Drosophila melanogaster: one gene and its partners. The protein of the gene in region 1 interacts with the protein of each later gene in a pairwise test. Each region holds a gene or a part of one and is shown in the gene's direction. Other genes may lie near its edges. The genes, in order: Nup50, Z600 and Pen.

Region 1 (11,296 bases):
CGACGATGGCACATTGTCAACTCGCTCAAAATCTGGAGTGCTGCGCAGAACTGTTCGCAGATCCAGCAAACTGCGACGATCCTCGTCTTGCTTCTGCTTGATCTCATGCAGCTTCTCGCTGAGGTCGCCGATGTATGTGCCGAAGTGCTCGATCGTCTGTAGGCCGTCCTTAAAGTAGCTGCAGAGGCGATAGATGTTACTTCTAATCTGTGGACAGCATAACTATGTTGAGGTACTCACTTGCTTAACGCGTGATAATACTCAATAAGGTGCTGCAACAGCTCGATTCCCGTCTTGGTCTTAATGTCTTTGTACTTCAGCAAATACTCGCAGGTCTGCAGTTGGTAGAGTCGACGCTCCTTCTCCATTTCTTCGGCCACCACAGCGGCGTCGATCTCTGTGCGCACCATACCCGCCTCTTTGGCCTGGGCTTTCTTCTCCTTCTCAATCTTGATGAACTTTGCCTCGTAGTCCTTGGCCGCCTTGTCGAATGGCCGCTTCATGTCCCCCTTCACGCCCCGCAGCTCGCTCTTCAGCATTGAGTCCACCGGAAACATCACAATGTTGTTGATGTTTTGCATCTGTTTTTGTGGGTAAACAAATTATCTTTTAGATGACCCTGTAATGGTTGCGAAATCGTCATGCCTACCAGGGTCTTCATCAGCGCGCTAAGCTCCTTGGTGACAACGCTGAACTTAAGGAACGCGGCGCCGATGTCCGGCTCATCCTGCTCAATAACCTTGCCGCCCAGTCGCTCCAGAGCTCGCACCATAAACATCTCATTGTCCACATGGGCTAAAAGATAAAAGCGAAAGCAAAGATTATTTGGAAGGAAGTAACATAAATGGTATCATATCTCAGAGGATGTACTCACTGTTTCCTGAGTTGTGGATAGCCTTGACCGCTTTTTTCAGCTTAGTTAGACCCTCCCGGTCGAACTCCAATCTCTGAAAGAGATAGTTATTGCAGTGATCAATTGGGCATGGTGTCAAAGGGAATACATAAAAGTTGTTTAAGGGTTGTTTAAGGAAGTTCTATAAGACAAGAGATAGCGACAAGGTTTTGCATAATTGAGAGGCTTTGATAGAGGGAATTCTTCAAATTTCTAAGTCCGAACAATTGTATTTAGCGTTTCAATAAACGACCTGCACCTTCTGTGCTTTAGATGAGCAACCACAATGCATTCCCAAACTTAGCCAAAGATGGGAAGACACAATAGAGGAAACGCCGTGGACGGGCGCCGAATGAACAATATTTTCAGATTGAAATCGCGTCAACATTGGCATTAGGTATTCAGTTCGCCTGTCGGTCGGTTGACCAACCCCACCCCTTCGATACTCCCATCATATTTTATGGCACCAGCTAATTGAAAATGTACGACAAGGTCACTTCTATTATTAAACTTAATAACCGAACCAGCACCATTTTAAATGCAGTCGCATGCACCAATTAAGACAGCAAGTGAAAAAGATTCGAGGCAATTTCCCTACCGAAACACACCCCCCATTTTCCAGCATAAATGTTTTATGCGGCAAAGTTTTTTATAATCCGAAACCGGAACCGCATAAACAATGATTTCAGTACATTTCCGAAGTCGAGAAGGAAAGAGTTCGTTCCCCCATTGACCCGATGACTCTCCCCAATTGCCTCCAATTCAAAATGCTGTGTTCAGAATTGAATTAGCCGCCAAGGAGGGGCGCAGGGATCCTGACACAACTGCGAATCATATGGGAATCGGCAAAGATCGCTTACATTCCTGCTGAAACTGATATATGAGCTACCAGACAACAACTGCCCAATAAATACTGCAGATGGAAAAAAAAGTAACAAGCGAATCGGCCAAGACCGAACTCCGGGAAACCTGACTATTTGCGATTGCAATTCTATACTACGCGATAGTCGCTGAGTGGCAAACATCTGGGGACAAATGAACCCCTAGCAATCCGCCATCGGCTGTAGAAGATTAGTCATGTTGTTGAGCAAATTACTGGGAATGCAAACAACACGCCTAGACCGAAAACAAAAACCAGCTAACGATATTCGTCAACTTGTTTTGCTCTTTGGACGAGTTGCGCGGCCAGTTAGCTGTTTTGATAACAAAAGATGCTAATTTATAATAAGTCAAAGCCCCAGAAGATGGCTAAAACAGCAGCACTTTGTTGTGGAGCGGCCAAATGAATGGCACAGAGAGAAACTCTTGGACGCACAAAATTAAATTTCATTTTAGACAGTCAGTTTTACAGCTGCTCCAAATATAATAAACACGCAATGGGAGAGACTGGCTAAAAAAAAAAGAGAAATAAAATTCATTTAACTGGCGGGGAATGGAGGTCACTGGGCTGCTTGGGCTACACCAAAAATCCATCAGCAAAATTAAATATTAAATGTTTGACGTGGCGTCCAAGAAGGCGGCCCAGAGTTCCGGGAAAAACTGGGCATGACGTGACCGACCAATAAATCGTCTAATTTTGTTTCGCCGGGCGGGCGCTGCATTAGCCTGGGGAATTGGAGCAATATGTGTATATTGCACAACCGGCCCACTCAAGGGTCTTTTGGATGACAACATGGATGACTTTTCCACTTAGGCGTTCTGTGTTTTCTGTGGACGATATCCCCAGCTGACTGAGTGTTCCCGTACGGGAATAGCCGCGGTTCTCGGATTCGCTGCTCTTATCACACGCCTTTTTCCGGCCGTAAAATACTCTTTGTGTGCTTAGCTTTATCAGCGGGCGATTTATATCCGTGCACTTACATACATATGAAAGTGGAGGCGACATCACAGCTGCCTTGAGTAAATATAGAAATTACAGCATGCTTATGTGGCAGCCACTCCCACTTCGGTGCCCAGCCCCCAGTTCCCTGCGCCCCTAGCTCCATCTGCTCTTGCACGTTCCGGAATGCACTTTGTATTTCCATTGTACTATTTTTGTGGAATCGTGGAATCGAGGAAAAACCACCTTGCGGGCAGACAGAGAGAGAGCGCGAGCCGGGAGAGAGAGACCGCACTAAAATAACAGGCGGTGGCTCATTTTGGCGCCGCGCCAATTTACAAATCTGTCCGCTGCAGCCCCCCGGAAAATAGTAATCATCACCGTTTGGCAGGGGGCGTCGCCTGCCATGTTAGCTGCAGTATCGCGTGGTCACATAGCCGTGCTCCTGTTTTCACTTTCACCGACATCGATCAGATTCCATTAAATTAGGAACTTTGTTTTGCAAAACCGATTATTATTACAGATTATCCGCAGATGGATCGGAATTTTAATCATTGAAATAAACAAGTAATGACGATAACACATTCCTCACTCTCCGTAGCCTACGAAGATATTAGTTTTTGAACAGTAAACCCAATTTTTCAGCGGTTCAAATGCCTTTAAATTCAGTGACCCCTAGACTGTTTATATGTTTAGCTCAAATATAAAACTATATAGACTGGGATTCCCAGAACACACCTGTAAACCCACCAGGATAGCCCACCTTAAACTAGGGATTGCTTGGGCTGTAGGTACACAGATTGTTGGCTTTTTGGACTACCTGCCTCTACATAAGGAACATGGCTTAGGAATTGCCTGGTCAACACACTTACCTCTTCCAAGACGCCAATCGTGTGGCGGCAGTCGGGCATCCTCGAGGCGAAGGTGGAGGTGGTGGGCGAGCTGTAATCGGAGCGCGTCTCCTCCACAAACTCGGACACGGCAATCAGGGATGGCGGCATTTTGCTGCTCAGGATATCCCGATGTCCTGGTATATACAGCGTATCTTTTACTCACACGCACACTCACTCACACACACACACACGCGAGTCGCACGCACACCAGCTCACGCCCAAGGCCGTGGAACGGGAGCAAAATGGGAGTGGGAGCGGGACGGCAAATAGCTGAGAAACTACCAGGATAACGCCTTTAAGCACTGTACGTGTCTCTGCGTCTTTGTTCACTCCCGATTTGTGTTGTTGCTCGTCGCACTTTCCCTGGCACTATATCCATATATCCACACACTGGCGTTCTCATCATCCTCATGCAATTTGGCTTTTTGCTTTTCGCTTTTCGGTTTTCTGCGTTTTTGGTACTGCTCGTACTACTCGAGATGCACAATTAACTTTGTCTCTGGGCGAGGGAAGTGCGCAGTACCCGGAATCGCGGCAATCATGGTAGGATCAGAAACACACTCGGACTGGTACTGCTACTGTGACTGGGACTCGCGGCACTGGACATGGTCGTCCTAACTTTAGGCGTGATTTAATACTTTTGTTTTATTGCGATTTTGTGCTGCTGGCGTCTCGCTGTTGTTACCCTATCGATATGCTATCGAAAGCAGCAGGCCTGTTTCGCTGACTCACAGTTACGTCGCCCAACTGAGGTAGCGATAACATTTATCGACCGCCAGCAACGCGGTGTGGATTTTATTCGGTTTTTTTTTTCTTTTTCACTGGCATTTGCTTTGAGTTTTAATACAGAGTAGAACAAGATGGCTGGCAAGCGACAAGCCACTTCGAACCTGAACCACGAAAACTGGGACCTGGAGGAGGAACCCGAGGAGCGCGGCACATTCCGCACGGCCACCGAAGAGGAGCTAAAGACACGCGTTATCAAGAAGGCGCGCCGCAAGATTGCCGGTGGATCGTCCGCCGCTGAAGAGGATGGCGCCGAAGAAAAGACTGCAGAGCCCAAAAGTGTGTTCAGTGGCTTTTCCGGTAAGCTATCAAATCCATGCAGACCTGAGGGACTTGCTCACTCCGATTGCTTTTAGGTTTCGGCAAGCCGGCTGCGAGCCCAGCCGCGGGTTCGCCTTTCTCCTTCCTGGCCAATGTGACGGCACCAGCCACGACCTCTAGCAGCGAGCCAAAAAAGTCTGCATTCTCGTTCGGGTTCAGCTCCAGTTCCAGTTCGGCCGATCGGCCTGTCAGCACTAGCATTTGCGGCACCGCCAGCACCAGCAGCACGGCCCCCTCTCCTTTGCCGGCCAAGGAATCAACAAGTACCGTCGATGGCGCCAAGCCGACCACCTCGATATTTGGCAACATATCAGCTGCCAAGAAGGAGAGTAGCGAGGCCAAAACCAGCAGCAGCAGCACTAGCCTCACATCCACCATGGAGACCTCCGAGTACCGTGAAAGCGTTGCTGACCTAAATCGGTCCGTCATAAAATTCCTGCAGGACCAAATGGGCAAAAGTCCCTACTGCATACTGACTCCAGTGTTTAAGAACTATGATGAGCATCTAAAGGATCTGCAAGACGAGGAGAGCGCCAGAACGAACTCCACGAAATCCAAAACGGCACAAGCTCGTTCTCAAGAACCAGTTGCAAAGGTGTCCCGTGCATCGTCGCCACCAAAAGCGGCTACTACGTTTACGTTTGGCAAGCCCAGCGCGCCAATAGGCGCCAGCGTATCGCCCTTAGCCAAGAAACCCAACTGCACCATAACCAGTGGTGGAACAACCACCACGACCGCAACACCACTGGTCTCCTTCGGCAGTACGGCATCGTTCACTGCGCCAGTGCCGTCCTCCTCCAGTATCTTCAGTTTGACAGCAAAACCCACTGGAGAAGCCAAATCCGATGATACCCCTAAGTCCAGCATTTTTAGCTTTGGAGCAAAGGATACGACCACTAAAAAGGATGAGCCTAACTTCTCGGCACCGAAGACCAATGGCTTTTCCTTCGGACTGAAAAGTAACAACGACGACAAGCCAAGCACCTCGTTGTTTGCGGGTTTCGGAAAAGCGCCTGGAGGAGCAGGAGACGGCGCAAAGGGCTTTTCCTTCACCAACAGTGCCACGCCCTTCTCTCTCGGAAACATTCATCCGCCAGCTGCAGCGGCAGCGCCTGCGGAGGAGGAAAAAGAAGAGGATACGCCCCCAAAAGTCGAGTTTAAACAGGTGATGATAAAAGAATTTTCTTTTCGAAGGGAAAGATAATATAACTTCTACTCCAAACAGGTTGTGGAGGATGACGCTATATACTCCAAGCGGTGTAAGGTGTTCATTAAGAAAGACAAGGACTTTGGCGATCGTGGCGTGGGCACGTTGTACTTGAAACCTGTCAAGGACTCCGAAAAGATCCAACTGTTAGTCCGCGCCGACACCAATCTGGGCAACATCTTGGTCAACCTTATTCTTAGCAAGGGTATACCTTGCCAGCGCATGGGCAAGAACAATGTGCTGATGGTCTGCGTGCCCACGCCAGAGGACTCCAAGGCCACATCGCTGTTGCTACGCGTAAAGACCGGTGACGAAGCCGACGACTTGCTGGAGAAGATCAAGGAGCACATCAAGTAGAGGATAGACAACTAACATGAATTCGTACATATAGATGTTGTTTAATCGTTTGTATTTTAAAAGCTATAAATGTACGAAACCCTGGAAATAGAACTCAAGAATGTACACACAAAAATGATAATCAGTCAATTGTGGCTACAATGATTTTGGCTTCAAGCATATCTTTGAGATGAATACTTAAAGTTCGCACATCCTCAGAAGACTCGTCCAACCCACTCATATAATATTGACGCAACATGCGACCGATTTCGGGGGGATAAGCTAAAAATTTTAACGAGATCAGTTTCGGGTATACAATTTAAATTGATAGTCGCTTACTTATTGTTTCCACTGTGACAATTTTGGTGCGCCGGTTAACGTAAGTGCACCTCCCGGCGACAAATTCGGTTGTGCCAGAATTGGCGTTTCCCTTAATCTTCAGCAGTTTAAATATAACCGTATCGCCCCTGGACGGCAGGCTATTGAGTGGAGTTGCAGTCCGCAGTAGGTCCCTTATAATATCCAAAGATTGCCTATTTTCTACTACTAAGATGTCAAGGGCACTCATAAGCATACATCTACCATTTAAATGCCTCGTATCTCACCTGGAATCGGTTCAATATCAGAGTCGCCGTATGAAACGTCGATATTGGAGTCGTCTACCAACATCACATCGTCGTCGGAATCGGATACTAGTTGTTCCTCAAAAATGGGCACTGTTACCGTTTTAACATCCTTCGAATCAACGTTATTTTTAATCGGAGATGCACTTCCGTCATCTGGCAAAATTTTTTCGACTTTGGGTGTTTTTTCCATAGATGTGTTGTTCTGTAGAAATGACTCAGTAAGTTCAAGTGGATTAGTTGCTTCAGCTTCGGACGGAAGAGTGGTCTCAGCTTCAGTCGAATTGTCCAGATAAGCGGATTCAACTGCTCCTATGGCCCCCGGAAGAGTGGTTGATGTTTCAATGATGTCTTCGCAAAGAGGTGCAACTGCTCTCTTTATACCTTCTGAAACATTTTTTTTATCCTTTACATCTGGTAATTCTTCGTCGTGCAAAATTTCGTAGGATTTAGGCTTTAAGGTTGAATCCTTCCCATTGCTTGGGAATTGTTTAGCCGTATCATCACTCTTAGCTCCTTTCTGCAGCAAAAAACGAGGACTGATGGGCTTAAGTTTTTTATATTCCAGAATTTCAATTTGTTGTTTTTTAGTGGGAAATTGAAATATGCGCGGAACATTAAAGGGCATCTCCAAGAGAGGGGAGCGGAACGAAATCGATAGGAGGCTAGCAGCAATGCCAGGACTCTTCTCAATTTGGTCCCCTGCTTTCAGTTGAGATAGTTTATCCGGAATTTTGTTGGACTCCAAGTGTGTTTTGTCCTGTTGCTCCTCTCGAGTTTCGTTTTCCTTCGTTACCACACCAGATTTTTCTGATAGAATGTCAGGCGATGTCTCTTGATTCTTGCTTTCTGACATTTTACCCTCCTTGAGCGTGCATCGAGAAATACTCTTAGGAGCAGGTTCATTCTCTACCTGGTCAGATGCCTCGGGCGATTTGGTCGGTTTCTTGTTTTTGGATTTATTTTTAATCTGAGGAGCAGATTCCTTGTTCTCTGTCTCGATGTTCGCTGACATGTTAGAAACTTCTGTCTGAGTTTCAGGGGCCTTTGGAGTGCCTTTGTTTGTCAAGAGCTTTGATTGTACAGAAGGTCCAGGAGCCATATCTAGCAACTCCTTCTTTCTCACACGAGATGGGTTTTCTGCAATATTTATCCATTCTGAGTTGTTCTGGTTCTTGGAGCGCTTTGAAGGTCGGAGGGGAGTGGAGGCGGTTAGGTGAACCTGTTCCTCGACGGATCGATTCTTGCGCTTTTTACTGGATTTTACAGGAGCAGGGCTCACAAAGGTATCACTATCGTGGCTGGCAAACCGAAAGGCTCTGCAAGGGATGAATATGCTCAAGTAGATCGTAAAAAGAAATAAGCTCACCTACTTGAGTCCTTCGGCAGAGTTCAACACTTTGATAGACTCCCTCGGGGGCAGATAGCATCCATCTGAGGTGAGCAGACTAATGTCCTTCTGTTTGAATGCAATTTATTTAGAATTAGCAGTTAGAGATTCTTAAAAATCTTGCCAAGCTGAAGAGGTTTTGTATGTGGTCCTGGAGGTCCTTGATGTTGTTCCATGCTGCATCGATGAAAACCAACGAATTTCGTCGTTCGTCCTTGAAAAAGTTTGATAGATCCACCTTCATGCTGGAGTGTTGCATTTTTGACTTAGTTTTCTTATGATTAAAATGATTTTAAATGTGCTAGAGATGGAAGTATGTTCGATTTCGTTATCGTTAAATCGATGTGTTTAAATTTCTGTCAAATTAATGTCATATTTTTTGTAGCGATTTATAAAAATAAAGCTTATTTGAATGACAAACTACATTAATATTAAAAAATTGCAATATGGAAAACAATATATTTAAGTCAACGAGATTTTACTTGAAATAATTTAAGTTAGTTTTAAAAATGCCTAAAGCAGAGGGCTGTAATAATGGATAAATTAAAGCTTTGCCTTGCAGAGAATTTAATTTTTTAAACTCCCCTATGTTATCGATAGCATTTACCAGCTACGCACGACCGATAGCGATAAGACAGTTCTTGTGTACAACGAAAACAAATAGTTCTTATCAATAAAGTTAGGCATTGATCACGGCTCCGAATTAGATCAATGATGTAATTCCACCACGAGGAAGCTCCGATCCGATCCGATTCCACTCCAAAATGAGCCACGGCGACCAGAGTCAAAACCAGAGCAGCCAGCGGAGCCAGGCGCTCACTGGCGGTGGTGACTCCCCGAGGGACAGGGAGAAGGAAAAGAAGGGCTGGTTCCACTCGCTGACCAGGCGCAAGAAGTCCGACTCGGCGCTGGCCGTGACTGCATCCGCCGCCGTCTCCACCAGTGGATCGCAGAACAACAACAACGAAGTGTGCGTCCTTGAGGCAGCGGACTCTTCCATGGCCAGCTGCAGCAATGGGGGCACGGGCACAGGAACTCTGCGCAGAAGGCGGGACAAGGACAAGCGAAACGTGTTTGCCAGACTACGAAGGAAGGTGGGCCAAGGGCTCAGCTCCCTGCGAAACTGGCACTCCATGGGCGACTGCGACGACGGCGGAACTACTGATGCCACCTACGAGTTCCTTACGCCGGCCATCTGTCCGGAACCCACGCTACCATTCACACACGACTACTTGCGCTTTATCCGGAAGAAATGGCTTGAGCGCGAGGACGCCCACTCGCCCAACCAGATCATGTACAAGGCCTGCTCCGAGATGCTCAAGTAAGCGCCGTGTTTCTCCGTCCATCAACGATCGATGACTCATGCCCTTTGTTTGTTTTTAGCCAAGTGTGGTACTGGGGTGAGATCTCCAGGCGCGATTCGCAGCGGCAGTTGAGTGACAAGCCGACTGGGTCGTTTCTAGTCCGCGACTCGGAAACCAGCGGATCCCAATTCACGCTCAGCTTTCGGATTGTGAACGTAACCCTGCATTATCGACTGGAATATCGCGACAATTTTTGGCACTTCGAGGAACTTAAGTACGAGTCCATTGTCGAGATGATCGAAGATATCTTGCACCGCTGCACCAACGACAACTTTGTGTGCTTTGTGAAGGTTCCCAACGAGATGCAGCCACCGTTTCCAGTGATCCTCAAGTACCCGTTGAGCCGGTACTCCAACATGCCCAAGCTGCAGGACTTATGCCGCCGTGTTCTGCAGCGCCAGATGTCTCGCGAACAGCTGGCCCAGTTGCCAGTGCCGGCGCAGATGCTGGAGTACTTGTCGGTGGAGCGGGAGCTGGTCTTCCAGAGTTAGGCAACCGCCGCCCGCCGTCGAGAAGCCGCTGGTCAAAGCTTTAACACTGAAGTAAACGCAAGCGCGTACACCAAAGAGGTCCGGGCGAATGGAATCCCAGCCTGCAGTTGTTCGTAATGATATTTGTTGGTCGGATTGGCAATATGTTGTTGATGCATTTCTACGCCCCAGTAACTAAGCGCACAGTCTCTCTTCACGTGCACGCCGGAATCCCAGTGCACAGAATTTTACTGTATTGTACTGCTAAGTACGGTTAGTACTAGTATCTTGTCTAGGATAATGTATTATGTTATTTGCCATATTTAGTCTATTGGTTTGTTTTATATGGGTCCTGGTCAAGTCTATACTCTGCACCACAGTGTGCAAATCCTTAAGCAAATTTTTAAACATTGAACTACTGCATATATGTATTAACGTAAGTTCTAAGCCAGATGTATCGTACTATTTACGTTGTTTGCATTTTTGTATTCCTAACTTGGACACTAACTTTTTGCTAATCTAGATTGCATGGAATTTAGGCAGCTTTACGGCAATCGAATACGTTCAATGCCAATTACTCTTGTTGCAACGTGTATGTATTTTATTTAAATCTATCTATGAATATTTTACAAGAACAAAATATCAATCAACTCCTTGAGCGATCTTGCAGTCAAAGGAGCTCGCAAATAAAGAAAAAATCACACAAATGTATATGTATATTCAGGAGGGGAGATTTTGCTGTTTAATGTCCTCCTCTTCGCCCTCCAGCTCTACATGGTCATACATGCGATAGGCTTTGAACTGGCCCAGCTTGACACCATCCACGTAAAAGAAGCTGAGAAAACATCTGCGGCACAGGTAGGAGGGATCGTGCAGCTGTCGCCGGGACTGGTTCACGATGAAGCTATAGCTGCGAATGCCGCACATATAGCAAGTCCTGCGATTAAACGTACTGAAGGCGTGAGGATAGGGATACAGGCTGCGATCTGGCCGTTTACTAAGTGGCGTTAGCACCTCTACCTGGGAGATCACAAACAGGTGTTCGCAATTGCCGTGGTGCAGGTAGTGTAGCGGTGATCCGGGGCTGACAGTGAGATCGATGAATCTTTTGCCCTCCATACTCTCCACCTTAAGCGTTTCTCCGTTCACTCCGTTCGCTCTGGCAGCCCACTGCAAGACGGTCTTGGAATAGTCG
Region 2 (9,448 bases), on another chromosome or scaffold:
GGCGCTGCTCCAGCTCTCCCTCCAGGCGAGCCATCTCCTCCAGGAACTCCTTCCGCTTGTTTTTATTATTTTTCGGCGCATTCTTCTTCATGGCCTGCAGCTTGGCCTGCAAATCCTTGCGCTCGCGACGATGTCTGGCACCTATGTCCTCCAGACTGACCTCATCCAGACGGGATTCCAGCTCCGCAATTGCCACATCGCCGTCACACATGTTTTTTTATTTAATAAATAACAATAAACTTAATCCTGACAAAAAATTATTTTGGCAGGTTTTGGAAGAGTGACCAGCTTGCGTTATTATATACCGAAAGCTGTCGGAAATATCGTCACCGTTATAATATACTTTATTTTACTTTAGTATTTAGTATTTTGACTGTATGGAAATAGACCAAGTTTAAATTTGAAATTTCTGTAATATAGTGAATAATCTTTAAATAAACTAATTTATTTCTTGTTATATCATTTGGGATGGAAAATTTAAACAAAAATCTAATGTAAGTAAAGAGGGTAATCTCCATTCATTGTTACGCATCACACAAAGTAAATTCTCGCATTCCCTTTCCCCCCATTAATTAAACTTTTAAAATATTTCTGTTAAAAGCGAATATAATTTTGTTGATTTTAATTTTATTTATGCTAAACATAAATCGTTTTATAGTGAGAAACTAAATACAGGCAACGCCAGTGGTGAGAAATCGGCTCAACCAATTCCTTTTTTGGATATTTCTAAATCTTAACTAGAGTTGACGTAATAAAATCCAATTATTTTAGTATGTACAGGCAAATATTTAAACTGGAATCGGCATTTACAGAATTAAGTAAAACCAAAATCGGTTGCAATTAAATTGATGTTAGTTTGAACCTTATACTTTATACAATTCACATGAGTGTTGTTGACATTAAAAAAAAAATGGCAAGCCATCCAGATGACACGTTTCTTATAACTCTATAACACATTCTTAATTGTAAATCAGAAATCGTATTATTTACATTGGCCAACGGCGACGACTCTCAATTTACTTCATATACACACTTATATGCGAGATGAACCTATGCCAAGATTTGCCACCACGGTGGCCTCCCAACCACTAACATCCAAAGTGATATTTACTTAGTCGCTAGCCGAAAACTAAGCAAGTCTCTCGTCACATCTCGTTTCGCCCACTATCATCTAGTGTGATTTTGCCCATGTCCAGTCGAACGTACATGCACAGAAGGAAGCACTGACTATCTAGGAATTGACAAAGATCAGGCTCTGCCACTCATTCGATCCCATGCGATCGGTCCTACAGGCTTTTGGTTATGTTCTGGAAGAGGCGACGTCCCCACCACGACTCCAGGTCGAAGGGCTTGAAGTCCTGTAGCGCTGGACTCGGTGGCTCCACCCAGACAGTGGCTGTCGAGGCAGCGGGCACTGGGCTGTTGGCCATTATGCTTTCCACTGGACTGGCGGCGCTGTTGTTGTTGGCATCCGCTACAGGTTTCTCAACAGGCTTGGCGGATGAGCTCGAGTCGTAGGGATTCTGCGCCACCAGCATGTTCCAGGCTGCCAAAAAGTAACAAAAGTAAACCACATTTATTAAATACTTATAAGTACATCTTTACAATCATATTTCCGACTTACAGTCATTTATGTAACGTATTATTTCCTCATGTTGCGGCGTTATCACCTCATCCTCGATCAGTTTGGTTGGCGTTATCCGCTTGGTGGCGAAGCTCTGTTGAAACACCGGACGCGGTATGCTGTTTTTTTAAAAATCAGGAAATATGCATACAATTTTAATAACAATGTTCTTGAATTTCAATGAAAAGGCACTTATGCAAACCACACAGATTCCACCAAACATGTGGACTACGAAAATAAATCACTTGGAGAACGAGGTGGGGTAACTTGGGTTCGACAGCTTGCTACTCAGTTCGAGGAACGCTAAATGCATTTTAATTCGAGAAAGGCGCTGCAGTTCGTCGATTACATTATTTTGGCTTTTAAATGTTAAAATTACATATCGATGAAAAAATTACAAACTCAATATATACTCATAAGAGCAATGAGTACTGATAAGCTATCTACAGTGGCAGATAGTAAACAGTGCCATCCCATTGACTGACAAGGATTTGTGGTTTATTAATTTAGATAATAGTATTTCGGCAAAGGGTTAGGTAATTTTTATCTTGAAGTTCTAAAAATAAAAGCAATCGCAAGAAATTAAATACAATTGGGAGTTTATAAAGTTAATATTTATATAGAGAACTTTTCAGATTTCAGCTGAAATGGCTATGGGAAATTCTAGAAAACTCGCATCCATAAGATACTTTTAACAGCAAGCGTAATACAGTTGATATAAAAGGCATAAAAATAAACAAGAAATGAGATACACTCTTCAATTACCTATAAGTACTCTACTCTGAAGTTACATGTTTCGATTGCAGTTAGACATTCGGAATAACTCCACACCCTTCCAGGTAAAATAAGTAAATTAATCAGCCTTGTTTTGGCACAACCTGTGCCGAGCATTGCCGCGAAGTTACGTTGGAGCCGTGACGTAACGGACGTGGAAAAGTCAATGCCTCAATGGCCTCAATGGGCATTTAAATTAAAATGGAGCCGATAACCGACGCCTGACCCACGTGTTTCCAATGGGTCTCCCCTAGCGAGAATAAGACTACTTGCTCGGGAGCAATTAGCATTACTGTGCTAGGTCGCCACGGATTCTTGCGATAAAATGTCAGTGCGATAAGACGAGGGTCTTGAACCCCAGTCCGCGTTTTCCCCCGTCACTTTTCCCGCTTTCCACATTTCACCATGTGCCATCCGTTTGCATAAGCACCCAAGATTTGGGTATGGTTACATATGAGCATGGCATTCTTACTTTTTGTGCTCCTCGGGACTGTTCAGATCGAAACTAGCGTTCTTGCGGCCGCTCTCCTTGATGCTTTCGAATTTTTCAAAATTTGGTGCCAGGCCTGCGGATGGAAAACATGCCATGGAAAGCTATAAAATACGCATTTACTGTGGAAAACGCCGGCAAAACAAAAAGTTAACAGAGCCAGAGAGCAAGAGAGGCAGAGGCAGATATATAGAGAGAGAGAGAGAGAGAAAGGAAAAGAGTATGTTTTTGTGACATAACAGCTGTTCTCTTGAAAGGGTCTATTGTGGCATTATTAACCATTATTACTATCAATATTTTGGACTCACCGCGACGCGTTTTAGCAACAATTTTGCTAGGTCCCTTGTTGATTGTGTACATGGTGGTGGGGAGATGGGGAGTACCGGCTGAAAATATACCTTGTCCTTTCGATTTACGTATTGTTGTTTTCGTTTCTGGCAACGAAATGCCTAGCCGACTGCTATGATTTTGAGTATTTTTCCGCTCTAGGCAATCATATGATCATTGGCAGCCCAGCCTGCCCCACGCCGCCTCCTTTTGGCCTATTGTCATCGTCTCAAAAGGTTACACAATACACTTCACTTAGGGCAGTGATTCCGATTTAGCACTCTTTGATTTTGATGGCTGCCGCACCGCGCTCGTATCAATTGTTTTCGATTAAAATCACCGACAATTACTCCTGGAAACGCGTTTGTAATGTTCTGTGTTCGGCGGACGAGGCTCCAATGCAACTGCCCCATTCAAATCGCATAACGAAATGTTAAGAGAGACACCCGCAAAGAGCCGTATGTTAGGGCGTTCATGCGGCAGACAACTCGACTTTCAGCAGATCATAATTTCTTCATGGCAGTAACCCACGGCAGTGATTTTATTTGATAAGCGTTTATTTCTTTAGGCTTTCAACTATAATGGGCACTATCAATTGTTTAGTAAAGTCTTTATTTTATAATAGCAATCAGCTTTAGGTTTCGTAGTTCGCGAAGTCGATTAACGCATAAACTGTACAACCGATACACGTGTATGCCCACCATATGATTTCGCCAGTATGTACACACTTTAAAACGGCAGTGGGTTCTTTCACCTGCGCGCGTTTTTTTAAAAGCGTATTAATTGATTAGAGGCTACATTTAAAAGATTGGATTATTGAAAGCATTTAGAGATCCAATATAATTGAAAGCATTTGGAGATCCAATAAATTATATTTTTATATTATCTTTAAGGAATTATTATCTATAAAGTAAGAAATTAATATACTCCATTAAAAAGTTATGCACTTTAAACACCAAATTTGGAAATTGTTACGAATTCCTTTCTAATTTATTGCGATTTGTAAAAGGCGGACTTTATGGCGGTAGACTAAAACCCATTACTACCTGCTCGCGTAATTCTGAACGCATTAAAAAGGGATTAGCGAGAATTTTCTGCGGAAATTTTAATTATGAGCAGGTAGCACCATAAAAGTGACAGATGTGGAAAACGGATAAGCTGTATTTTCCGCGCAGATATTTATGGCAGTCCTGAAATTGCACACTCAAGTGGATATAAAGAAGGCCGTGGGCAAAAGGAAATCAGTAGCAAATCAGCAACGTCAAGCTTCACATTAACTTCCTGATCAGCCAGCCTAGCAGTTATTATGTCGTCGACAAATGAAACCAACCAAGTGCTGCAGCGCCTGAACAGCCTGAAAATCGTGGAAACCCCAAAGGAGCAGCATGAGTTCGGAAAACGCGAGTGCTACTCCCTGGACAGCAAGAAGTATTCCCTGGTACCAGCCACCCCCAGCAGCTCAGGACACGGAAAGTTCCAAACCGAACTCAAAAAGCGCCGCAAAAACAAACTGAATCGCATGTACACTTACGAGGCTGATAAGAATTTCATCAAGGCTCGCAAATCTTTGAACTTCTAATCATAATACGAACCGATGTAATCACCTTAGTCATAAGCATCATTGATTTCAAATCGTACAGTCACAATTCTTTTCACGCTCTGATACAACAAAAATATATATAAATACTTTTGAAACATTTTACTTTCCGCGTCTTTCTCTGACTTACCGTTATGTGGGCAGCCAAACTGATTGTGGTCACACTGCTGCTGCTGCAGTTTGCAGCCCTGGCGCTCAGCTGTTCGTGCGGCGAAGAGGCGAAATTGGAGTGCGGTTGCACAAAACATCACTAAAAACACAAATACTTGGGAATATTACACAAATTATTGTAAATAAATAGGAAATCACAATTTAGTTAAGATGGCGGACATACCGGCAACCAGCGAAGGTAGTGCGAACACTAGTGAGGCAGTAGTGGAGTATCAGCAGCCAACTCCGGAGTTTTTACAACGCAAAATCTATTTTTTGGTGGACCAATTGCGAACTTACCATTCGGAACTTCCCGAGTAAGTCCTTGATATTTAGTTTATTTAAATATTTAACGCCATTTTTGATTAACAGAAACTTGCAGACACGCATTTCCTACGATCTACTCACCGAACTCGCCAATTGTGTGCTAAACGATGGCATTTTTGTAATAGTAAAAGCATTAATGGAGCTGCAACACGAAACCGAAAGACACTTAATTAAAATACGGATGCAGGCGGAGAACGAGTATGAAATAGAAGTGGCCGAGTGGAGGAGCAAGATCAAGGATCCCGAGGAGTTGCGCCACATTTTGGGACTCATGAAAATAAAGCACACTAAGAAACTACACGAGTCGGATACGAAGATTATCGAAATACTAGATCAAAAGGTGAAGAATTCAATATCCTTTTGAGTCGTTCCATTCCACGCACTTTTAGTTGGTCTTACCATCCAAATTTCTTTAAAAACAATAGTCGAATCTCAAACTTAGATAATCCTAATCCTATTTAAAATTAAATTCAAATATGATACATAGTTTGATTATGGATGGATCTATAGATTAGGTATATTTTAGGTATATATTTATCTGCAGATTCTTATAATTGAAATGAAATTATCACTAAAGATATTTTCTTTTGTAATACAAATTATTTCTAATCATAACTTTAAATGCTTATATGGGAATACGAAATTAGATTTTACTACTTTAACTTTCTTTGTTTTTTCTTGATGTTGAACTAATATCTAATATCATTACGCAGGTTAATGACCAACAATCCACACTTCAAAAGGCCGGCGTTCCCGGCTTCTATGTCACCGAGAATCCCAAGGAGATAAAAATACAAATGTTCCTGTTGGACTTCATTTTGCGTTTGAGCCGGCTAAAATACGAGCCCGGCAAATAACAGTTAGTCCACAATCCGGAGAACACAAAAGACTGCACTTGACTTGTTCAAATTAGAATATTAAAGGCAATTAAATTATAACCCTGATCAAATGTCCCAGCTGTACGATCAATTGTGGCCCCAAGAAACCTGTAGCGCTGCGCAGTTTTAATCAGCGTAGAATCGGGAGAGGGAGAAAGAGACGGGGCCGGCCGCCAGAAGACTGAAGAGCGGGAGAATTGATAACGATAGCGCGGCACTCTCCACATTCGCGTAGAAAGCGGGAGAGGCGGCAGTATAAATTGGACCGACCTTTCTGCAGATGCATCAGTTCAGCTTTAAATGTTAAAAGCGACACATTAAATAAATAACAATTTTAACTAGTGAAATCATGTCTCTGACTATTACTTCCAGTGTCACTCATCCTGAGCTCAAGGATCTGGTAAGTAATTGGTCTAGTGATTGGTGCCTAATCCTGTGACTAGTGATTTCAAATGTCCTGCGGTTTAATTCGAGCTTAAATGTAAATTAAAAAATGCTATGATAGCTAATGAAATATATTTTAAATTTTTTTTTGCCGAATCGTGACTTTAATACACCTTTAAACAGTGTACAAATATAAATAAACAAATATATGCAATTAAATTATTTGATGTACAAGACATAAGTAATTTGTGAAGAGTCTTAAAGTTTCTTGAACCCCCAAGGCCGGGTGGCCAAAACTTTGATGTGCTTAGTCATAAAAGCCAGTTTCCGACATCTAATGTTCAGAATAATTAAAGCTCATGTGAGCACCTTTTTGTTGGCTAGAGGAATTCGGTTTGTTTTGGCCAGGTTCAGTTGCTTCCCAACAGTTGAGCAGTTTACACATAATAATGTTTTCGCGACTGTTTCGTAATTTCAAGGCGAGTTTTGCTCACCTAAAACCGCATATTTAAATGGTTTTAAAAGTGATTTAAGCTAGGATTAATTTAGTTGTTTGCTGTGCGAAGTGAAGCGCTGTTAGCCAACGACTTTTACTTTCTTTAAATCAGTTTTTCCATTGACCTTGATTTTGAAATTGATTTTGCAATAGTGTGTGCGAGAGAGATAGTATTTTCAATCAGCTGTTCGACAGCTGCAAGTGCAAGGCGAACAGAGCGAAAACCGAAAAGAGCGCGAGAGAGAGTTTAAAATGAGCGCACAAAGTGCATTATTATTTTGCTGACGACATCAGACGCGAACAAAGCCCCAAAGAAAATACTTAAAAAACTTAAAACCTGCCGAATATTGCATTTATTATATACATATAAAATTTTGTGCTTAAAATGCGCTGTTTGCCGGGCTATGGTTACGGCCTTACGTTTCTGTTTTTGGTGTGCGCTCAATACGAATAAATCTAATATTTCAAATTTTAGAAATCTGTTGCTCATACTCCCCTTTCTTCTTCTTCTTCTTCTTCCAGAGCACCGTTCGCAATGAACAAAAGGAACTGAACATTTCGCCGGTTCACGATGTGAATGTCACCAAAGCCACGGCCACTTTCGGCATGGGTTGCTTTTGGGGCGCAGAATCCCTGTATGGAGCCACCCGTGGAGTTTTGAGAACCACCGTGGGCTACGCCGGAGGCAGCTCGGATTTGCCAACGTACCGTAAAATGTAAGGGAGCAAGTTGAGAGCATTAATCATCCATATGTCTTCCTTTCACGTCCCTACATGTTGCATCCCATAATCCTTTCGGATCCGGTACTAACCACCAATCTCAACAGGGGCGATCATACGGAGGTGCTGGAAATCGACTATGATCCCACGGTCATTAGCTTTAAGGAGCTGCTGGATCTGTTCTGGAACAACCATGAGTATGGCCTGACCACGCCCATCAAGAGGCAGTACGCCTCCTTGATTCTGTACCACGATGAGGAGCAGAAGCAGGTGGCACACGCCTCCAAATTGGAGGAGCAAGAGCGCCGTGCACCGGAGATCATAACCACTGAGATTGCATCCAAGGAGAACTTTTACCCAGCCGAGGCGTAAGTTTTAACTAAGAAAATCTGAGTGCGTTGATATGAATTTCCTTGTTTGTTCATAGGTACCACCAGAAGTATAGGTTGCAGGGCCACAAGGATCTCGCCTCATCGCTAAATCTCAGCCCCAAACTGCTGCAGACCAGCTATGTGGCCACCAAACTGAATGGCTACCTGGCCGGAGTCGGCGGCATCGAGCAGTTTAAGGCGGAGGCGGAGACCATGGGTCTGACGCCCACCCAGCGGCAGTACTGCTACTACCACGTGGAGCAGAACGAGGGCCAGGGTCTCTACTGCTGACATGGCCGAATCTGCATAGACGTTAAGCGTAGATCGTACACCTAGGGGGGTAATTTTATGGATAGTTTGCTTGTTCAAAAACAGATTGTGTATTACGTAGACTTAGAAACGTATGAAATATATATGAAACGCATATATTTTATTATTATAATAAAAAAAAATATCTCAAACTAAAGTTAATGTTTTTGGTTTTTGATTTGGAATCTTATTTGTAGCACTGCCTTTCCAGGGTATTATTAGTATTGTTTCGCCACAAAGGCAACGAACTTAATTTTGGCTTGCATCTGAACGATAAAATATCTGCAGATACGTGCTAATAGCCAGCAGTAATAATCGACTTCATCCTCCTCATGCGCGAAAACAACATGATAACCAACTGAACAATCTGGCGTGATAAACAGCTTGCAAGTCATATTAAGTTCCTGTCCAGGATCCTGTCTTATCAGCCATAAACACCCGATAACAAATTCGCTGGCTCATCTGTTTGTTTAACTTTAATGAGTTTGCATTGCTGTCAAGATCTGAACGAAATTCTGCTGAAATTCGGTTTTTACTATACAGTATTATATTTTATATAATTAAATTATTTTCCACGAGAGTTTGTTTTTTTTTTATAAAATATTTATGAAAGCGTATCATCTTACGTAAGTTATACTTTGCCAAAATGGCATGCCAATAAATTTATCTAACCAAGGACAGTAAAGTGACTGACCTCAAGACGTTCGCCATTCTTAAAAATAGTATGTTCATATAATTAAGGTACACATATTTAGAAAATGTATAAGTATTTGAATGAATTGCTCTTGTCCATAAATTGCAAAACTATCAGTAGCTTTGTCTAATCATAAACGGTTTGGTAGTTTACACTTAATTTGAGGGTCTATAAATTGTTGGCGGTAGTGACTGGCACTAATCGATTGAAAGTAGAAAAATGCACTTAGTCATAGGTGAAGATTTGATTAGCGAAAATAAAGTGGATTATATATTTAGTTTAGTTATTTCATTAGATCACCAAAATGT
Region 3 (12,105 bases), on another chromosome or scaffold:
CCCAAAAGGACTCTCCGTGTCCTTTCACACGCCACACACCCCTTCTACTTTCATATCCTTTTGCGGCTGCAAAGTCAACGAAGGCGGGTTTATTAAGTCGGGCAAATAGTGTTAAGTATTTGTCAAATGTCAAATGCCAAATGCCAAATGCCACATGCCAGACGCTCCCTTTTGCCGGGCTTAATGGATCCCCTCGCATCCTGGCCAGCCACACACTGGCTTTTAATTGCCACGCCGATAGGCAAGTGATTCTCCTGTCCCTGACCCAACTGGCCCACCACCTGGCATTGAGCTGCAGCTTCCGCCTCCTCAATTAGAGGGTCGTTGCCAGAAGTGTTGACTATTAACCCCCACCGACAGTCGACGTACCTGTCTAAATTAATTAAAAAGCCGAGTGCGGATAGTGTTCTCAGCGAGCTGCAAAAATGTAATTAATTTAGAAGCAATTAAATAAAATGCTATTATGTAAGTAATCAATAAATTTGGTATTTTATATTTATCTTTAGTTTCTGTGTGCCGCAAAGGGATTTATTTATTTATATAAAATCAAGATCAATCAAGCCTTATTTTTCGAGGTAAATGTATCATAGAAATATATAAAAAAAAAATCAACTGAAAAGAATCCACTGAACAACATCGATTTCCCGGTACTTTCTATTCAGCCGGTCTGCCATTTGTACGAGTATATATTCTATAATAGATACATATATGCAAACACATAAGGGGGCAAAAAGCGAAGTAAAGGATTCACTCAATGGAAATCCGATCTCCTTTGAAGCGTGTCCTTAGGCACTTTGCTGTGTGTTTTTTGGTGGCTAAGGCAGGTGGCATGTATCTCTCTATCCAGCGTAAGCCATTCACTTGACTTTTCAAGTTCAAGTATGTGATATATGCATACATATGTATATATTTATATATATATATTTAGATTCCCTACTGGGACGATAAGTGTGCCCTGGCTGTCCACGCATCTTGATGGCTTGGGGCTACGTGTTTGGACGCTGTAATCGAATGTTTATGTCCCACAGAATGCTCACGGACGCTTCACGCACTTTCAATTTTTGTGTGTGCCTTCGCCAAGGGGGAGGGGGGTGGGGGAGAGTCATTGAACGGGGATCTCTCGATGCCTCATTGTTCACAGCCATCCGGAGACAATTGTGACCATAATGGAGAGCGGCTGGTTCCTTGAAGCCGCTTAATTACAGCGCTCAAATGAGTTGACACATTTTTTCGTTGGGCTGCGCGGGAAGCGGCGAATTTCATAGAAAAGCCTTTTGGGGCAACCTTCGGTTCTGGGTTATTATTATCAATTAAGACCCATTTTCGGTGACCCAAAGCGTATTTTGTTCCTGGTTGGCAACCTTTGATGGTAACCAACTCATTCATGGTAAATAAATGAAAAAAAAAGTAAATAAAGGTAGATGCCTGTAATTAGTAATCCGATTTGGCAATTTCCAAGCCTCTGTTCCGAAGTGCAAAACTATGTGAAACTGTGCCAATGTCTGCAAGTGTGGACACCAAATAAACACCAAATGGAGCAATAATAAATTTTCTAAAAGACCAAAATAAACAAAAAAAAAAAAAACTGAAAATCATGCGCCCAATGAAGCAAACGCCACTGACACACAAAAGCCACCAAGTCGAAATATAAATATATATATTTATATACGTATGTATAGTGGCGGATATTGAGGTGTTGACAAGACACCTGTATTTTCGTGGGAGGTGGAGAAATAGTTGGCTTTAGGGACAACTTGACAGCAAATTTGGCGCTCCATTGGCGTGCGCATGTCGCCAAGAAAAAAAAAAAAAAAACACGGCCAAGTGCGTTGTGCTCCGACAGAGGGCGCTGCAAGGTGGCAAACGGACAATTGAAAAGTTAATTGAACGGCACTTAAAACGCAATTAATTACCAAATCGCTGACACGCTGAGTAGGCCTACAAGGAAGCGCTGAACTTGACAACGAAAATGGAGAGCGGAAAGCCAAAAAACGAAACTGAAACTGAAACCGAAACCGAAACTCAATCGGATAGCAGTATCGAAACCGTGGACAAAAAGACAAATTACCCGAAACCAGTTTTGGCCCAAGACAATTGTCAAATTGTCAACCAAGATGCCGAGACACTTTTGTACTTGTTACCGGTTTGCTCTTCGGATTTTTTTTTTTCTTTTTATTTTTTTTTTTTTGTCTTTTCTTGAGGGCGCCACTTCTTTTTTGGGGCGGCTAATTCTGACGCCCCATATAAAGTGGTGCGCGTCGGGAGTGGTCGACATCATTAAGTCGACGTCTCTGCCAGAGTCGGACGGATATATACAGTCGTCAGTCTGAAAGTCATCGCAACCTGTGCGGCACGTGCCACTTCATCCTCGAGCAAACCGAGTAGTCCAGTGCAAAGGAAGTGATTCCACAATGGCAGGCAAAGTGAGTTTAATAAAGTGGAACTCTAAGCAGCTCGATTTAAAAGGCATTTCAATGGCGTACAAAATGGCCAACTTTCAAGGCAATTGCTAAACTCGTGTGTTACTATATCCTTTCTCGAAAAAAAAAATATCCAGCCAACTTGTATTTTTCTATAAATCCGCAAAAATTCCATATCGATTAAATGTTTAAATTCGGTGTTGGCCAAAAAATAGGAAGCAAATTCAATTTCAGTGCAACTGAATTCATAACTTGTGATTTGCATAATCACGAAAATAAAACCAATCCAATTGGCATTGCTTCGATTTTAAATTAATATTGGATTTGAAAAATTGTATAATGCAATTGGATTTTTGTATTGCATTTGCACGTATGAAAACATAGTTTTTGGCTAAAATATAAAGTAGCGCACTTCTTTTAGCAAAATTAACTTAAATTATTAACAAAATGAAGTGAATGAAAAATGTTGAAATAATTTAAACCCTTTTTCCGTGCAGCTCCTGACTGTTTTCTCCCTTCTGGCCATCGCCGCATCCTGTCGCGCAGGATTCGCCGCCACCTATGCCGGCTATCATCCCGCCTATGCCACCTACCAGGCACCGGCTGCCGTCTACCATGCGGCACCAGTGGCCCAGGCTGCTGTCTACCAGCAGGCGGCTCCAGTTTACGCCAAGACCTTTGTGCCAGCTGCTCCTGTATACACCAGATCCTATGCCCTGCCCACTCCAGTTGTCAAGGCGGTGGCTCCTGCTCCTCTCGCTCTGCCCGTTGCTGCGCCGGTGGTGAAGACCCTGGCTGCTGCTCCCGTGGTCGCTGCTCCAGTGGTCAAGACTGTGGCTGCTGCTCCCGCTGTACTGAAACAGGTAGAGTTGGAATCTTCGCCGCGCTACGACTTCTCCTACGGCGTTCACGACAGCATCACCGGCGATATCAAAAGCCAGGTGGAGACCCGTGACGGTGGCAATGTTGTGGGATCCTATTCCGTCCTGGATGCCGATGGTTTCAAGCGCACAGTGACCTACACCGCCGACGACATCAACGGATTCAATGCGGTGGTCCAGCGGGAACCGGTTGTCGCTGCCCGCGCAGTTGCTGCTCCAGTGGTTTCCGTCTCCGCTCCAGCTCCAGTTCCCGTCCATATTTCCTCCGCTCCCGTTGCCTCGCTGCCCGCTCCCATCTACTATCCACACCAGCAGGTGTTCGCCCCACAGCAGATTCAACAGGTTGCCGAGCAGCAGGGTGAGGTGGTGGAGTCTCCTGTGGCCCAACAGCCCGAGCTGGAACCCACTCCCATTGACTACAACGAGGGTCAGCAGCAGCAGCAGGAGCAGCAGCAGCAAACCTATCCCCAGGATCAGCAGTTCCCACCCTACTCGCCAGCTGGTCAATCCTCCCCAGCTCCTGACAGCGATGATTCCGACGTGGTGGAGGCACGATCTGCCCCGGAGGCCAGCAGCACCACCACCACCGCTGCTCCAGTTACGGAGGAGAACAAGAAGACGGCCTAGATTGGATTATGAACGGAAATATTGTTGAAATTAATAAGGAAATGAATAAAATACTTCGAGAATACATAAAAAATTGTCTACTAATTCAAATTAAATGTAGTTTAGTTACATTTATAAGCTGATAATTCAAAAGCTTAAATGCGGCGATTTTAATAATTAATTTACCACATTAATTTAGCGGATTACTTCTCAAAGAATCGAAAAACAAACAATTGAAAAAGGGACTAAATCGATTGGCAGCAATCATCTCTAAAAAAAATTTTGTTTATTTCTGACAACCGCATATAAACAAAATGAAAAGAGCATTAACCGGAAATATCTGCGCATTTATTGCATTATTACTGATAATCGAGAGATTAAATGGTATTAGTGCAATGATAACATATTTGCAAGCAAAAAAAAAGAGACAATCAAATTTTATATTTAAAGGTAGACAGATAAAATCAGTACCTTTTATTATCCAATTAAATATTGATTTAGGTGGCTATTTTTTGTCTTATTAAATATGGATAGAGCTTTACATTTTAACACATATTCGTTGAATAAATTAACAACAAAGATTGAACATAAATATTTATGGAAATTGTAATTGAAGCTTTTAAACGTATAGCCTTAATATTAAACATTATTAATATTATATTATTTTAAGATGAAGGTTTTCCTTACAAAAGTAAAGACGAGAAAGTAAAACATAAACATTTGTCATAAACATTTAAATGAGCCCGCGTGGTGTGCAGATTCAGCCGACTTCTATTCAGCTGTTGGCTGAATTTGGCTTGCATGCGCACACGTTCCACGTTCCACAACAACATATTGAAATCCAAAAGCTGCTTCACCACTTGGCAAGCGATCGTTAACAAGTTACACCAGAAATTTATATATACTAAAAAAATAATAAGTTACTTAAAAATTTAGTAATAATTATGTGGATATAAAAAATGTACATTATTTTTCTCTACGCGCCGTTGTCCGAAGTTAACAGCAAGATAACATGCGATATTAGGCACCTACGTTCACACTGGCATCAAATTTCGATAACTGACAAAGATCGATAGCCATCTGCGTTTCGTTCGCCACTAAGGCTTGCTTTTCAAATCAAACGGTAAATTCTGGCGGCGCCAAGCAGGCATTGACTCCAATTTCGCATCGATTACGAGAGTACTGTCTACGTTTGTCTACAGTTTCACCGACACATTCAGCGTGCTAACACGCTCGACAAATTCTCGTGCTCGCGTTTCGTTAGGGAACGATAAAAATTGTGTAAAAATTCAGTAAAGTGAATTTCCATTCGAAAAAGCCAGCACACGCATTCAAAAGGGCAAAGGTACAAAGGTAAGTGCGTGTGTACTCTTTTCTTCCTTTTCGCGGTTTTTCCCACTGCTTTTTACTAGCGTTCATCAATTTGACCGCCTCTTCGTGATCTCCTCTTCTCGTTCCCCTCTTTCCGCGAATCGGCAAATGGCGGCTGCTGCAGCTGTTGCCAACCAAAGGCGTAGTTCTTAACTCGCGGGGGCTTGAGCGATTGGGTGCCCCGTTAAAAATAATCTTGTAAATTAGTTGGCTTATGTTGGCTAACACATAGGAATAACATATCGAGTTGCTGGCCACAAAGAAAACCCCTTTTTTGAACTCATGGTTACGCCCCTGTTGCACGCCGAAAGGAATATAAAAGACAGAGATAAAAAAAAAGAACCCAAGCAGCCCTTGATTCTGCTTCTTCCTGACATTGACTCACATTTTCCTTTTCAGTTTCACACATTTCATCGCAGCAGCAAACATCTAAACTTTTAAAGAAAAAACACAAAACTCAAAAAAAAAAAAAAAATGAGTAAGGCGGATTCTAACTCACGACAGGGCTCCTACAAGGCCAACAGCATTAACACGCAGGTAATGTACACAAGATCCTCCGCAGAACTGCGTTCGGAACTAACCTCACTTTTTGCCCTAGGACTCACGCATGCGCCGCCATGAGGTGACCATCGAGCTGCGCAAGTCCAAAAAGGAGGACCAGATGTTCAAGCGGCGCAACATCAACGACGAGGATCTAACGTCGCCGCTCAAAGAGCTCAATGGCCAGTCGCCGGTGCAGCTGTCCGTGGACGAGATAGTGGCGGCCATGAACAGCGAGGATCAGGAGCGCCAGTTTCTGGGCATGCAGTCTGCCCGCAAGATGCTCAGTCGGGAGCGCAATCCACCCATCGACCTGATGATCGGCCATGGTATTGTGCCCATTTGCATACGCTTCCTGCAGAATACCAACAAGTGAGTAGTGGCTTTAGAATGTTGATGAGAGCATTATTGAATATCCCCTGATTCGCCGCTACAGCTCAATGCTGCAGTTCGAGGCCGCTTGGGCGCTTACCAACATCGCCTCTGGCACATCCGACCAAACGCGCTGCGTTATCGAACACAATGCTGTGCCGCATTTCGTGGCTCTGCTCCAGTCCAAGTCCATGAACCTGGCCGAGCAGGCAGTCTGGGCTCTGGGCAACATTGCCGGCGACGGAGCCGCCGCCCGCGACATTGTCATCCACCACAACGTAATTGACGGAATCTTGCCACTGATCAACAATGAGACACCGCTCTCTTTTCTGCGCAACATCGTCTGGCTGATGTCCAACCTGTGCCGGAACAAGAATCCATCGCCGCCATTCGATCAGGTGAAGCGGCTGTTGCCCGTCCTGTCGCAGCTTCTGCTTAGTCAGGACATCCAAGTGCTGGCCGACGCCTGCTGGGCTTTGTCCTACGTCACGGACGACGATAACACCAAGATCCAGGCTGTGGTCGACTCGGACGCAGTGCCGCGCCTGGTCAAACTGCTGCAAATGGACGAGCCGAGCATTATTGTGCCCGCCCTGCGCAGCGTTGGCAACATTGTGACTGGCACAGATCAACAGGTAGGAAAACAAATGATTTTAATCCTTATTGTTATAACATGCCTGACCGACCTGTTTTTTTTTTTTTTTTTTATTAGACTGACGTTGTAATTGCATCTGGAGGTTTACCAAGGCTGGGACTCCTTCTACAGCACAACAAAAGCAACATTGTGAAGGAGGCTGCCTGGACGGTCAGCAACATCACAGCAGGTAACCAGAAGCAGATCCAGGCTGTGATTCAGGCCGGCATCTTCCAGCAGCTGCGCACCGTGCTGGAGAAGGGTGATTTCAAGGCTCAAAAAGAGGCTGCCTGGGCGGTGACAAACACCACGACATCTGGCACTCCCGAACAGATCGTCGATCTAATTGAGAAGTACAAAATATTGAAGCCTTTTATCGATTTGCTGGACACAAAGGATCCGCGTACCATCAAGGTGGTGCAGACGGGCCTATCCAATCTGTTTGCCCTGGCGGAGAAACTTGGTGGCACCGAGAACCTATGCTTGATGGTCGAGGAGATGGGCGGTCTAGACAAGCTGGAAACTCTGCAGCAGCACGAGAACGAGGAGGTCTACAAGAAGGCCTACGCCATCATTGACACATACTTCAGCAACGGCGACGACGAGGCCGAGCAAGAGCTCGCACCTCAGGAGGTCAACGGAGCCCTCGAGTTCAATGCCACCCAGCCCAAGGCTCCCGAAGGTGGCTACACGTTCTAATCGCCCACCCCACACATTCCAAACTCCGCTCACACGCCTTACAAACAACTACACCTTCGACCGCGCTCACACACTATGCCATTGTCAAACATACGCATACTCATCATCACATCTTACAAACATTCCCAAACACTTTGGAGGTATGCATGGAAACACAGGCGAATGCATTAGCTTAAAGTCATAATTGAATCGGGTTGGCAAAATCCACTCGCATGAATCCCCATTTAACATACCCGTATTCCTCGCGTTAGACTAGACTTCACAGATTGCAGCATGGATCTTTCTGGCAGTGTTCCTCGTTCACGATGCAACCGCTCGGGCAGCTGCGCTGGCTGGGATCCGTGGATCATAGTATTTCCAGAATCCGTCTGTACAGGGGGCACCTTATGTTTGCGTGTACTAGGCTTTTTATTGGATACGTTTCGAGCTCATTTCGGATATATTTTAGGCTGTTTAGTATTTATTTATGTATACAGGAAACGCTTTTAATCCTCCACCTTCGCGCAAGCATTACAACAACAACAACAACAACAACAACTCATTCCCTTCACACCAGTGTCCTCATTCCCGAATCGCATGTTTATATTCAAAGTTGTCAATAAATAATGAATTGTTTGAATGATTAATTAAATTTCATGTGTATTTAAGCTGCATTTGAGCATTGCGAAAATTGGAGCCTATTTTTGGGCCTTGGCATTTTTTTTTGTATATTATTTGGAATGCTATTGGGATATACACCGATGCAGGCAATCGAATTTAAAATGTTATCCCTTCGATGCGCTGGCGCCTTTTGTCCGTAAATCCGCGATAAAAAGTCATGCAGTCAATACATGTTTTTTTTTTTGTCTTGTACATTTAAATCGCATTTGGGCCGTAAGCGGATAGCCGGAAGATTAAGAGCTATCTACCGCAGCCACGCCCACTCGAGCAGCGGTGGACAGCGACCCCAAAAAAGTTCCAGATTAGATATAATGATTAAACAACCGACGAGTGAGTAGTGAGTAGTAGTCTACTACTGGCACAGAACGCGCACCACGCACAACTCAATCAAGATGAATCGCAGCGTTCGTGGTTATTGCAGTGATCCAGAGGGTAAGCTTAATCAGTGGAGCGACGACGTCACATCAACAACCATGTCCACGTACGATCTTGTTCCCATCGGATGCAGTGCGTCGAATTCGGCGAATCGTGTGTGTGTGTGGCAAAACAAATTATAAAAATAGATTAAAAATTCAGCATGGGCAAAGTAGTTGCCGAAAATTCGAACTGAATTGTGGAAGCATTGGCCGCCATCCGGAGCTTTTGCCTCCGCGTTGCCCAAATTGTCGTCACCGATGGATCGGATCTATGTATTCAATTGGTTCTTTCTCGAGCTATTTTATTATTTCCGAGCGCAAGCGTTTAGTCGACTTTCTGCCGAAGCTGCGTGCGGGCGTGAATCTCTAAGGGCAACTAATTTATATAATTGCAAAACGATCTGAACTGACATTACGCATTTGAAACTTAAAAATTTCTAACGATTTTTAAAAAAGGTAATAGAGAATAGTGCAAGTGATGTGAAACCAATCGGTAGTTTCGTAAATTGCCTTGTGTGTAAATCAATTCGCATTTTCACTGAATGTGTGTCGAAATTTTCACAACTATTGTTGTTGATGATGCCACTTCGAAAACAATTTTCTGATCTCATATGCCTCACTGAGAATCCAGTTGGGGATACACCATATGCCACTTGGTGCATTTAAACGTTTACAAAATACAAGAAAAAAAGTGTGAAAAAAATCGAAAGCACTTTTGACAAACTCATGATGCAGTTAATTTCGTTGAATAAAACAAAAAATTGGCACACCAAAAATAAACAATAAACATCTAGCACTAGAACAGCGCTACTTTATAGCGACTACTACATAGCGTACACAGCAAGAAATTTGTACTCATTATAAAATGTTTAATTTTAATCATTGGGAAAACATTTAATTTTGCTGTGAATTGATAGAATAGTATATTACCTATACTAAATCTATTCAAAATGCATTTTAAAGTTGTTCATGTGATAAAATTGTGAAAACTGAAAGAGTATGAGTGACATGATTTTCTGATAGATTTTTCTTGCAGTGTGGGCAGCGTGGCTCTCGCGATTTTGAAGCGGAAAACGGTCTTTTTTTCCGTTTCGGTCCGTTTTTATTTTCCGATTGGGGTGGGTGGGCGCGTATTTTGTTTGTTGATGTGGCAATTAAGCGCGCAAGTGTGCGCGTCGCGTAGAAATCGGCGTGCAGAGCTGCAGCTTCGAATCGACAAACTATATAGTACATATATAGCGAGTGGGCATTGAAGTGGGCGTGGGCGTGGGCGTGGTAGGCGGTGGGATTGGGTTTGTTTGCCATAGAACGGCGGCGGCTGCCGAAATTCGCGTGAAATTAAAAGTTGCCGCAAATATATAGCCACAGCACTGTCACAAAGTTTTCCGCCTCGGCGTTTCCGCTTTGTTTACTTGCCGAAAATAGTGTCAAGTTTGGCCTAGTGTGTTCAGTTGACTTTATTTGTTCAAGGCGCTTCTTTTGTATTCGCCAAATGAAATGGTAGACAATTTACATTTTCATTACAGTGTGCACTTCAAGAGCCAAGGTGAATTTAAATGGGATTCAATGTAGTATCTACTTGCGGCTGGGCCGCATTATATTTTCATTTTATTTAAAGCATCTCATGGCCCTAATAAATTTGGCCAAGTTTACTTACAAATGTATATCTACATATGTATGTATATACATGGCACATGTGTTTTGCATTATGCCGTAGGGCGCATTTATGCTAAACAATTACTTTTGATAGAATCAACCATGTGGAAGCGATAAATTCACGCCTTTATAATATTAATAAGACTTCATCTGCATACGAAAACACTGCCCAAGGCTTCTCAAGAGATTCAGATTTCATTAGATTCCTGGAAAAAGTGGGCAAGATAATACCCCTTCCAAAGTTGAAAGCTAAGTAATTTATCATGCAATATATCTGTGTATGTTTTTTGTAGCTTTACGAAGATTACGATTTCATTTTGCATACAAAGATTTCAAAACTTGAATTTTCTTGGATTTTTTTGAAGCAACACAATGAGTGAAGCTGCCAATCCAACGCCCTATGATTGCCACATAGGTGCTGGTATTTACCACAGCATAGCAACGAGTTTTGCAGAACAAAATGTAGTTGTATCACCACTACTACTGGAAGCCACTCTGTCCCTGCTCTTCCTGGGATCGGATGGAGCCACCGCCGAGGAGCTGCAGAAACAACTGCGACTGAAGCAACGTTTTGCCAGCAATGCCAAAATGGCCAATTTCTATGCCGCGGAACTGGGCAATATCACAACAGATGCAGATACCTTCCTGCAGCTGCAGAATCGTTTGATGCTGTCATCTGAATCTGGAGTGGCCGATGATTTCCAGAAGATTGCACAAACCTATTTCCATGCCACTGCCGAGTGTGTTGATCTGGAGCAAACGGAGAAACTGCGTCGCCACATCAGCGAACAGATCCTGGCCAGCGTTGGAGGCGGCAGCTGGAAGGATATTCACGTGGCAGGTGGTTCGTCAGCCAATACCCTGCTCCTGCTGCTGGCCGCCAATCTGCAGAGCAAGTGGTTCCTGCCCTTCAGTGCCTACAGAACCGGACTCTATGAGTTTCACAGCGGCAGCCAGGTGAAATCGGTGCCCATGCTCTTCGACGACGACATGTTCGTGAAGTTCGCTGAGCTGAGGGATCTGGATGCGCGTGCCATTGAGCTGCCCTACGAGCACGCCGAGGAGCTGTCCATGCTGCTCATTCTGCCCAATCAGCGTGGTGGCCTGCAGGAACTGGAGAAGCAGCTGCATGACCTGGATTTGGGTGCACTGCAGCAGCGAATGCAGATGGAGGGCGTGCAGGTGTTGCTGCCCAAATTCAGTATCGATTTCGAGTGCAGTCTGCGGCAGCCGTTGAAACAGGTTCGTAAAATCAATAAATGTATCCTCTTTCCCAATTTCGAATATGTTATCTTATATAGCTCGGCTTTGAGGAGATATTTGCTGCATCGGCGAACTTCAAACATCTGCATGCATCGGCGAATCTGCCCATTGCCGATGTTCTTCAAAAGCTGCGCATAAATCTGAATGAGTCTGGATCCGGATCCGGACCCGAGTTACCAAAGAATGCCACAGGTATTTAATTTCTTTGTAGTTCCTGGTGATAAATATACCTTATCCATAAACATTCCAGAATATAAGCCCATTGTGATCAGCAATTCCTCCCGCCAGAAATTCTTCCGAGCTGACCATCCATTCTTCTTCGCCATTCGCAGTGAGAATGTGACCTATCTGATGGGTCACGTGGTGGAATTTTAAAAATTCTTAAAATTTAGATACACGGAAGGGTAGTGCAATATGTTAACTTCTATAAAACTAAGTAAAATAAAACTAATATTTACTAAACAAGTAATATCGATGTATGAATGCTTCGGAATATATGATCGATTTTTTGTATTTGTTGCAAAATGAAAATGGTTTAAAATTTCTATGAAAATTATTATAAAAATCTAACCACAATCTTACCTTGC

What was found.
Region 2: the proteins of Nup50 (region 1) and Z600 interact in a two-hybrid assay, tested with the Drosophila melanogaster proteins (one study listed by BioGRID).
Region 3: the proteins of Nup50 (region 1) and Pen interact in a two-hybrid assay, tested with the Drosophila melanogaster proteins (2 studies listed by BioGRID).

The regions. Positions count from the first base shown.
Region 1 is NT_033778.4:8,118,674-8,129,969, forward strand, and holds Nup50 (nucleoporin 50kD), read left to right. Parts: upstream 1-4,362; 5' UTR 4,363-4,464; coding exon 4,465-4,690; intron 4,691-4,746; coding exon 4,747-5,876; intron 5,877-5,936; coding exon 5,937-6,275; 3' UTR 6,276-6,385; downstream 6,386-11,296. Other genes in the region: Asap (ArfGAP with SH3 domain, ankyrin repeat and PH domain), read right to left, coding at 1-178, 241-581, 650-795, 875-947, 3,584-3,712; coil (coilin), read right to left, coding at 6,397-6,536, 6,594-6,800, 6,860-8,196, 8,251-8,336, 8,392-8,526; Socs44A (suppressor of cytokine signaling at 44A), read left to right, coding at 9,032-9,588, 9,651-10,122; Pbp49 (PSEA-binding protein 49kD), read right to left, coding at 10,822-11,296.
Region 2 is NT_037436.4:15,504,603-15,514,050, forward strand, and holds Z600 (Z600), read left to right. Parts: upstream 1-4,458; 5' UTR 4,459-4,521; coding exon 4,522-4,794; 3' UTR 4,795-4,911; downstream 4,912-9,448. Other genes in the region: CG7857 (uncharacterized protein), read right to left, coding at 1-211; CG7841 (uncharacterized protein), read right to left, coding at 1,287-1,546, 1,625-1,743, 2,871-2,964, 3,197-3,248; gdl-ORF39, read left to right, coding at 4,947-5,066; gdl (gonadal), read left to right, coding at 5,134-5,279, 5,335-5,629, 6,003-6,146; MsrA (methionine sulfoxide reductase A), read left to right, coding at 6,517-6,567, 7,570-7,763, 7,874-8,134, 8,194-8,428. UniProt on the Drosophila melanogaster protein: Cell cycle regulator that is involved in modulating and adjusting cell proliferation according to the requirements of the developmental program. Interacts with mitotic Cdk1-cyclin complexes to inhibit mitotic entry at the G2/M transition.
Region 3 is NT_033779.5:10,051,945-10,064,049, forward strand, and holds Pen (pendulin), read left to right. Parts: upstream 1-4,955; 5' UTR 4,956-5,260; intron 5,261-5,677; 5' UTR 5,678-5,752; coding exon 5,753-5,815; intron 5,816-5,876; coding exon 5,877-6,190; intron 6,191-6,254; coding exon 6,255-6,825; intron 6,826-6,902; coding exon 6,903-7,523; 3' UTR 7,524-8,151; downstream 8,152-12,105. Other genes in the region: Cpr31A (cuticular protein 31A), read left to right, coding at 2,412-2,423, 2,918-3,928; Spn31A (serpin 31A), read left to right, coding at 10,628-11,497, 11,557-11,710, 11,769-11,893. UniProt on the Drosophila melanogaster protein: Binds specifically and directly to substrates containing either a simple or bipartite NLS motif. Promotes docking of import substrates to the nuclear envelope. Seems to act as a cytosolic receptor for both simple and bipartite NLS motifs.